Daphnia pulex: one gene and its partner. The protein of the gene in region 1 binds, or shares a complex with, the protein of each later gene. Links are inferred from orthologs where the notes say so. Each region holds a gene or a part of one and is shown on either strand. Other genes may lie near its edges.

Region 1 (4,557 bases):
TGTGTTGGGGCCAGTGTGAACGCTGACAATCCTTGCTACAATAGAAGATTGAATTGCAGCGAGCGCAACGCTTTAGATTTTGAGACATTTTCTTGCAGCCAGCACAGCAGTTTTCGGCAACGAAGTATTCAATCACTTTAAACTGTTTGAATCACAGAGATGAGAAGTTATTTATTAACATTAATTTGTTGAAATTTGGATGAATGAAACGCATTATTTTACCTGTCTCTGTCCTGTTCTCTCTGAAATTGCTAGCTTGCAACTGGCCGCGTCCCATGTCATCATGTATGGATACATATACTCTGATGAGGGTATAATGTATATGCTCTTCCAACTCTGAAAATTCATTTAAAAAAGAAATTGCGGGAAAAGAATGTACGTGAGTCGCGTTTGATCCAACTAAGAATTTCTATCAAAAATATTTTACCTTTGTAGACCAAATAATCACTTTCTTGTAATAGTCTGTTGTTGCGAGATAGCGTCCGTCAGGTGAAAGTATTAATTGATGGATCTGATCATGTCCTGTAAGTTTTCGTGTCTGAATTTCATGATCAAATGGATACCAAATTACAACGTTTCCACTTTCTAATCCGCTGAATAAAAGCCAATTAAAAAGCTGTGGTTATTAGAATGTCAATTTAAACTTGCATCTTTTAAAACTTGATTAAAATAATCTAGGCAGTCTAACCATGCAATAAAAGTTTTTGTCGTCATCTCTTCTTTGATGCCAGAATTCCATACCAAATTTCTGCAATTGGAATCGACATCCAACACAAGAATAGGATCTTTACTGCCCAATGACCAAATCTGCAATTAAAATTGTTTAAATATTGACTCATTTAAATTTAAAAACTTAGACAATAATAATTGTCTATCGACTATTAAAATCCAATAAATATAACGTATGTAGTTCTAATACCTTGACTCGAAAGTCTGTTCCACCTGAAGCCAAAAGTTCAAATTCTTTGTTAATGGCGATACTCGATACGAAAGTTCGTGTTTGGCCCTGGTAGTTCATAAGCGAAAAATTGTCCCTGGAATTCATAAGCGAAAAATGGTGAACAGCTTTGTCATGATCACCCAGATCGTGACGGATTTTCTGGACCATTCGGCTTTTCATTTGACTGTTATTCAATTCTATTTCGTGAATTTCAAACGTTCCATCGTCGTAACCAAAGGCGAGTTGATTGTGCGAGTTCCAGGCCAGGGTCTGACAGTTCCATTTTGATTTGATGGTGTGGGTGAGGAGGTTTTCAGCTGCTGAATTGGCAATCATCACCTCGTTTGTGTCCAACTTGAGATACAATTTTAAAACTTAAAATTTCTGGTGAACAATAAATTAATGTGAATGTTTCTCGTGTACACCGACTTTTAATTTGAAATTCTCCCTTCCCGCATTACTTAAACAAACTACTAAGTTAGCACATGAATATTGTTTTTTTTTTTTCACTTACCGCACTGTTATAACTAGCCAACATGTCCCGGTTAAATGGATGCCAAAAAATTAACGGGAAATTCGATCGTCCATTTCTTCGGAATGTTTGTTTGCCACAGCCTGGATAAGACACAATAATGACAGTCCCATTATCGGAGCCAGCAGCTACTTTAGTTCCATTGACCTTTACGCCAAACAGAAAAACAAAAATAGAAACTTAGGATTAACACTGTAACATTTAGCACACGATTTTGATGGGGTGAAACACGGACACAATTATTTGATTCACAGACTTACGTTCCATTGGACGGATAAAATTGTCCTTTCGTATCGGCTGTATACGGGTTCAATCTCCCAATTCTCAAACGGTGTGGAGTGATTAGTTCCCCGAAGGAAAACTAATCCTCCTTGAACTAAGCCGCACGCCAGAACAGGATCGATGGGGTGGAAACTGGAACTTCTCACATCTAGTTTACTCGTAATTGAGAACTCAACTGGTTTGAAAAAACCTGGATGGGACATCAGACATTGATTAAAAACGATGGACAAGTTTATAAATATTTGTCTTACCTTTCCCTGGTGAGTTTACAGCATCTGTCATTTTCTCTCTCCTTAGTGACGAACGGAAGTGTAAAACCACGTTTAGAAGTAGCGAACTAAAATGAACGAAACATTATTTTACAGCGTTAAAGCTGGAATATCCATAGAGTTTAGAATCTTAAAAATTTCACCGATGCGCAGATAGATGAGTAATATTTAAAGAGACTGGCAGCACGATGCCTCGAAGAATGTTGAAACTGAAGTGGCAATTAAAGAAGATGGAACTGGAAAAGTAAAACTGAAAAACAAAAGAGAAACGTTCAAGGGGGTAAGAAGGGGGTGGATTTGAACGGGGTCGTAGGAAAATTTACCTTGACTTTTTCTGTCTGGAATCTTTTTTGTTTTTCAAACTTGTCTCGAGGTTGCTAAAATAGCTGTAATTTTCGATACGCAACTGCATTTTGACTAATCCTTTGACAAAAATCTTTTCTCACTCCCCTTACCTCACACCATACGACTTTCCTCTCCACACCCACTATATTTTTTTTACCCACTGAAATAACCCCAAAAGAAAGTAAACTTGAAAAACTCGTGTCTTTTCATTTTCCCGACAACTTAATTGATTTCAATTATCTTTCAACAACCAATGATACATTATAACAACTTTCTCAGAGTCCATTGATAGGCATCTCTTTTGCCGATATCACGGTATTTTGTTTATCTAATCCGTTCACTCACATCACGAGCGTGATTGCTTTTCAATTCTAGCTGTCTAAAACTCTTTCAACTTGGCCACATTTGAGACAATCTCTTTGGCTTTCGTTTGGAATTTTGAAAAATGTTTGGATGGTCGTGGGAAAATGCAATTTGGGTCTTCAGTTTTCAGCTAGCTTTATTGCGTGTCCGGACCGTCTTGATGGAGACCTTGAACAGGGACGTGATATCCATCATGATCGGTGTTTCCAACAACAAATATTTTGATTTGAATAAGTAATGTATATTCTTTATAATTTATTTGTTTAACTTACCGTTTGACAATGATTTTTGAGCAAAAATCTGCCAACACTCAACAGCCGTTCTATTTTTCAAACGTCCTCGTCGTCAGTTTGTTGTGGAACTTAGTCCGCCATCTACCAGTCGTTTGCCAAGTTCGTTGCAATGTATTTTTTTCTTTGGCGCCATTCCCATGAACGACGAGCTATTCGTCTTCGAGAGCACACCATTACTGCCATTACTTCACAAGTTCACTGAACAGTGAACAATGTTCGAAAGTGTGCATCCATCGTCTTCATTTGTGTTGAGCAGCGTGATATTACTTTAAAGATTGTACTGTTCATTGTGATTCCTTTGCAAAATCTGTGACCAACATTTTCGGTGGTGAATTGAATCTGCACCAGGCTGGAAGTGACACACATGCTGATGAGGTAAACATCCCTTTGTCTGCAGTATTTGTACGAAAAATATGGCGCCTGACTTATTCTAGAATTGTAACGTGTTGGGTACTTGATGAAAGGTAACTATTTGTGAACTGTTTCACTAAATGACAATATCAACTATGGCACGAAAGGATTGTAGGAGGGTTTTGCACCATGCAGTGCCAGTCAGTTTATATCTTTTTTCGACAGACATCAGAATATGCATCCCATGAGGTTTCTTTTCATGGTGAGTCTACATTGCTTCCTCGTGAAAGTTTATTTTATTATTTTTACGTTGTTGGTGGATATTACTTTTGTTGTTTGTTTTATTTGAGCAGGTTTAGTTTGAGAGTTTTGGGCTTGGGCACCGGTGGTGAAACCCTGATGGTGGTAAAAGGTGTCATGATCTGTTCCCAGTTCTAAACACCTTGCGAGAAATTTAAGACATCCAGTCTTTCACTCGTTTTACCTTCAAATTTACCTTGGTGGACCAGATAACCAATTTTCCTTCATAGCCGGTCGATGCCAGAAAGCGTCTGTTTGGCGAAAATAAGATTTTATGCAAATCGTGGGAATGTCAATCGAAAAACAAACTTGGTTGTATTTCCTTTTCCGTTGGCGACCAAACAAAAATTGATCCGTTATCTAACCCTCTGAAAAAAGATCAGAAAAAGGCGATTGAGCTCTTACGCTTAATTAAATAATCGATTTGGGACACTGGGATATTAGATGAATGAAATCTGACCCGACTAAAAAAGGTTTTTCCTTCGCTCTTTGCACGATTACGCTGGATGGGAATTGGACTCCAAATTTATTCGCAACAAGAAGAACTGGATTCTATCATGCGTATGGGATATTGGGATCCTCTCTTTCCAATTACCAATTCTGCGTTCAATTATTTGAAAGTGAAGGAGTTAAACATTCAATTCTAAATAACCATTTAAATTCTGGGACACACCTTGATCCAAATATCGTCTGAACTGGTGACCAACAGTTTTAATTCTTCGTTCCAGACAATACTCGATACATTATATCCAAAATCTCCTTCTGACAAACTGTATGGGTCTTACGAGTGAGAGTCGGGCACTCACCAAACGTTTCTTGAATAGTTTGCTAGTTGACGTATCGTTTAGTTCTATTTCGTTTAATATCAGCCGTTTCCTAATC
Region 2 (3,008 bases), on another chromosome or scaffold:
CAGACGACCAAGGCAAGCTTTCTTTTTAATCTTTATTATTGATTAATTAATGATGAAAACCACATTTAGAGCATTGGGTTATGAATCTTTGTGATTAGCAAATTAATCTGAACGCAGTTTATCATTCAAGTGATACTGTCTGGTGCAAAGATGACTAATCGATACAATTTAAATTACAGGAAGATGATCCGTCGTGCATCTGTTAAGCGCAATCCTCTTACCAACATGAGAGCATTGATGAAGTTGAACCCGTACTCCGCCGTGATTAAGAAGTCTGCCGCTGCTGTTGCTGAGGCCCGGAAGAAGAGCAAGACTGCTTTGCTCGAGAAGAAGCGCGAGGTAATTTTGTTTTCTGTGAATGTTTGTATGTCTTAGATAGTTTTTCGTTTGATTTCTGTTTGAATTGTTAAAATTGTATTACCGCATGTGAACGTAACTTAATGCATGCCACATTGTTTAACATGTACAGGCGAGTGCTACCAAGAAGGTAGCTGCCTAGCCTGCGAGTGAGCGCACACAGCATGGTTTATTGAGCTAATCAACAGATGTTTTTGGTGAGTTGTCCATCGTAGTGAGAATCTGATTTGGAAAATAGTCCAAGTTCTAATTTGTATATCCATTCTACAGTCAGTAGTACCCGTACCAAATTTACCTGTTGAAAAGCCGAAAGAAGAAGCGCCCGTTCAAGCACCGGTCCAAGATGTCAAACCAACTCAACCTCCTCCTGTTGAAACCCCTAAGCCAACACCACCAGAAACAAAGAAAAGCAAGAAATCCAAGACGGCTGCAAAGGATTTGCAAGTAGAACCGATGGATGTAACACCCGCGTCCGTTGTTGAGGTGAAGACTGCCCTAGCTCCAGCTAAGGAACCATCTCCGCCAATCGTTACCATCCCTGAACCTGTAGTTAAGGTGGTAACACCAGTCGCTACTCCTGTAAAAGGAAAATCGCCACCAGTCGTTCCTGCCCCAACACCGATTGCTGTCCCGGAAGTGAAGCCGTTGGAAAAGGTTCTTGCTGCTCCCGTTGAAGCTATCCCATTAGAAGAAGCTTCTGTTCCCGAATCAGCTGCTGATAAGGGATCGAAAGCCAAGAAAGCAAAGGGGAAGAAAAATAAGAAGGAATGAGTGACATCATTGAACCTGTGCCTGTATGACGTTTTTTCTGTGACATCTGAATAAACCTTCTGCAGGCTGAAATGTGTTTAATTTATCTTAATAATTAGCTATTAAATGTAAATGTCATGGAAATGCTAATTCTCGCCGTTTGTGGCGCTGTCTTCAATGTTTTGTCAGATGGTGTTTTATACGTCAAGTCTACAATACATTCCTTGTCTTCGTCCTGATAGCAAGGTATCGTATGTAGTGCTCAAATAGGTTCAGAATTGTGCTACAAGAAACAGAAATGAGCTCAGAGAAATTTGAAACTCTGGATGAAGATGTACAAGTTTTGTTCGAAATTCTGCAAAGAAAGTGTTCCGGTAAGCTAGAACAATGTTTTGGCGAAGAAAAAAAGCAAGTTATTGCCGATGTCGAAAGAGGACTAGATGAAGCTAAACAAGCAATATTTGAAATGGAAGCTGAAGCTAGAGCAGCTCCTGGCTCTTTTAGGATGGACATGATTGGCAGGTAAAAATGTGAATGTCTTAAGTTTACACAGCAAACAATACATGTAGTAAAATTTCAACTAATGTTTTTTTTATCATCCAACTTCAGAGTACGAAGACATCAGGACACCTGTTCCAAACTTGCTCTATTGATCAATTCTTCCAAGCAATCAGAAATGTCTCTGGCCTCATCAAGAGGAAAACTGTTGGAAAACCAATCCACTGCTGCATTTAGCCAAAACCGGGGCATTGATAATGCTCTTCAAACAACTGTTCGCCAAGGAACTGCAGTTCTGGAAAGAACATCACAGAGCCTCTACAGAACTACTCAGGTTGCTTTAGAAAGTGAAGAGATTGGCACTGGAGTTATTCAAGAATTAAGTCAACAAAGAGAAGTGCTTGTTCGTACAAGAGATAGATTGACTGAAACGGATGCAGAGCTGGGAAGAAGTAGAAGAATCCTTAAGTCAATGTCTCGTGTTGCTATGACTAATAAGCTTGTCCTAATTGTCATCATTCTGTTGGAGATATGCATTTTGACAGGTTTAGTTTATTATAAATTTTTTTCTTGAAATTATTGTCCTCAAATTCTTAACATACCTCATCAAAAATGTAACTAATAGTGTTAGTGCCTTGAATTTGTGTAAAAGCCGATACAAAAATATAATCATGCGCATAGCGACCAGTATTTTTTTCCCCTTGCGTGCGCAAAGGATTTCCTAGCGGCCTTCGTACGCAGACGGAGTTACGAACCCAACCTCTGGCTTTCAGTTCCATTTGACAGAAGCTCTTCCTGTGTCATGGCGTGCTATACGTGTATTTAAAGTTTTTGCGTTTGCCAACGAAATCTGAGATTTTTCTAAGTTGTTCGTGCTTCGACATCGACAGTTAAAATGGGGTAAGTTGTGCATTTATTGATTCTGTATAGTCTTAAATGAAAAATCGATTCGTACCATATATCCACGTAGCAACAGCTGGATGCTGAGCACCACTGTCAAGTCTGAATTCAAATTTACTGTAATTAAAAGGGTATATGTTTCAAATATTTGTATTTTGGACTATGGAATTAGACAAATAAGAATTTTCCATTAGGGTGTATAAATACCATTAAGCTAAAGTGTAAATCAATATTGAAGTCACAGACTCACTGAAGTGTCCCGTCATTCAAATGTTAAAAAAGATTTTATTAATATCTTGGCTGTAAATATAGCATTCATATTTTCAAACTAATAAGCTAAGCTGCATCCAAGTTTTCAACCTGTACTAAATTCTAAAGTTGTATTGAGCTAAACTTCGAAGCTGAATGACTTGTGCCTCTAGCTACAGCCCAGAAGGATTGTTGCGAAATGTTATTCTCAACTCAAGCAATAGATTGTTGCTTTAGGTGATACATCAAAGTAA

The links.
Region 2: syntaxin-18-like (region 1) and vesicle transport through interaction with t-SNAREs homolog 1B-like share a complex: the UniProt entries of both Homo sapiens proteins name them as parts of the SNARE complex. The link is inferred for Daphnia pulex from reciprocal best matches to the Homo sapiens genes STX18 and VTI1B.

What each region holds. Positions count from the first base shown.
Region 1 is NC_060027.1:1,471,521-1,476,077, forward strand, and holds the start of syntaxin-18-like, read right to left. Parts: upstream 3,037-4,557; 5' UTR 3,004-3,036; intron 2,294-3,003; exon of another isoform or gene 2,167-2,293; intron 2,092-2,166; exon of another isoform or gene 2,037-2,091; coding exon of another isoform or gene 2,006-2,036; intron 1,945-2,005; coding exon of another isoform or gene 1,733-1,944; intron 1,620-1,732; coding exon of another isoform or gene 1,455-1,619; intron 1,295-1,454; coding exon of another isoform or gene 920-1,294; intron 808-919; coding exon of another isoform or gene 689-807; intron 594-688; coding exon of another isoform or gene 428-593; intron 337-427; coding exon of another isoform or gene 223-336; intron 143-222; coding exon of another isoform or gene 1-142. Other genes in the region: F-box-like/WD repeat-containing protein TBL1X, read right to left, coding at 1-142, 223-336, 428-593, 689-807, 920-1,294, 1,455-1,619, 1,733-1,944, 2,006-2,036. UniProt on the Homo sapiens protein: Syntaxin that may be involved in targeting and fusion of Golgi-derived retrograde transport vesicles with the ER.
Region 2 is NC_060018.1:4,118,004-4,121,011, forward strand, and holds vesicle transport through interaction with t-SNAREs homolog 1B-like, read left to right. Parts: upstream 1-1,291; 5' UTR 1,292-1,405; coding exon 1,406-1,629; intron 1,630-1,716; coding exon 1,717-2,179; 3' UTR 2,180-2,289; downstream 2,290-3,008. Other genes in the region: uncharacterized protein LOC124189006, read left to right, coding at 1-12, 180-339, 628-1,128; homer protein homolog 2-like, read left to right, coding at 2,501-2,505. UniProt on the Homo sapiens protein: V-SNARE that mediates vesicle transport pathways through interactions with t-SNAREs on the target membrane. These interactions are proposed to mediate aspects of the specificity of vesicle trafficking and to promote fusion of the lipid bilayers.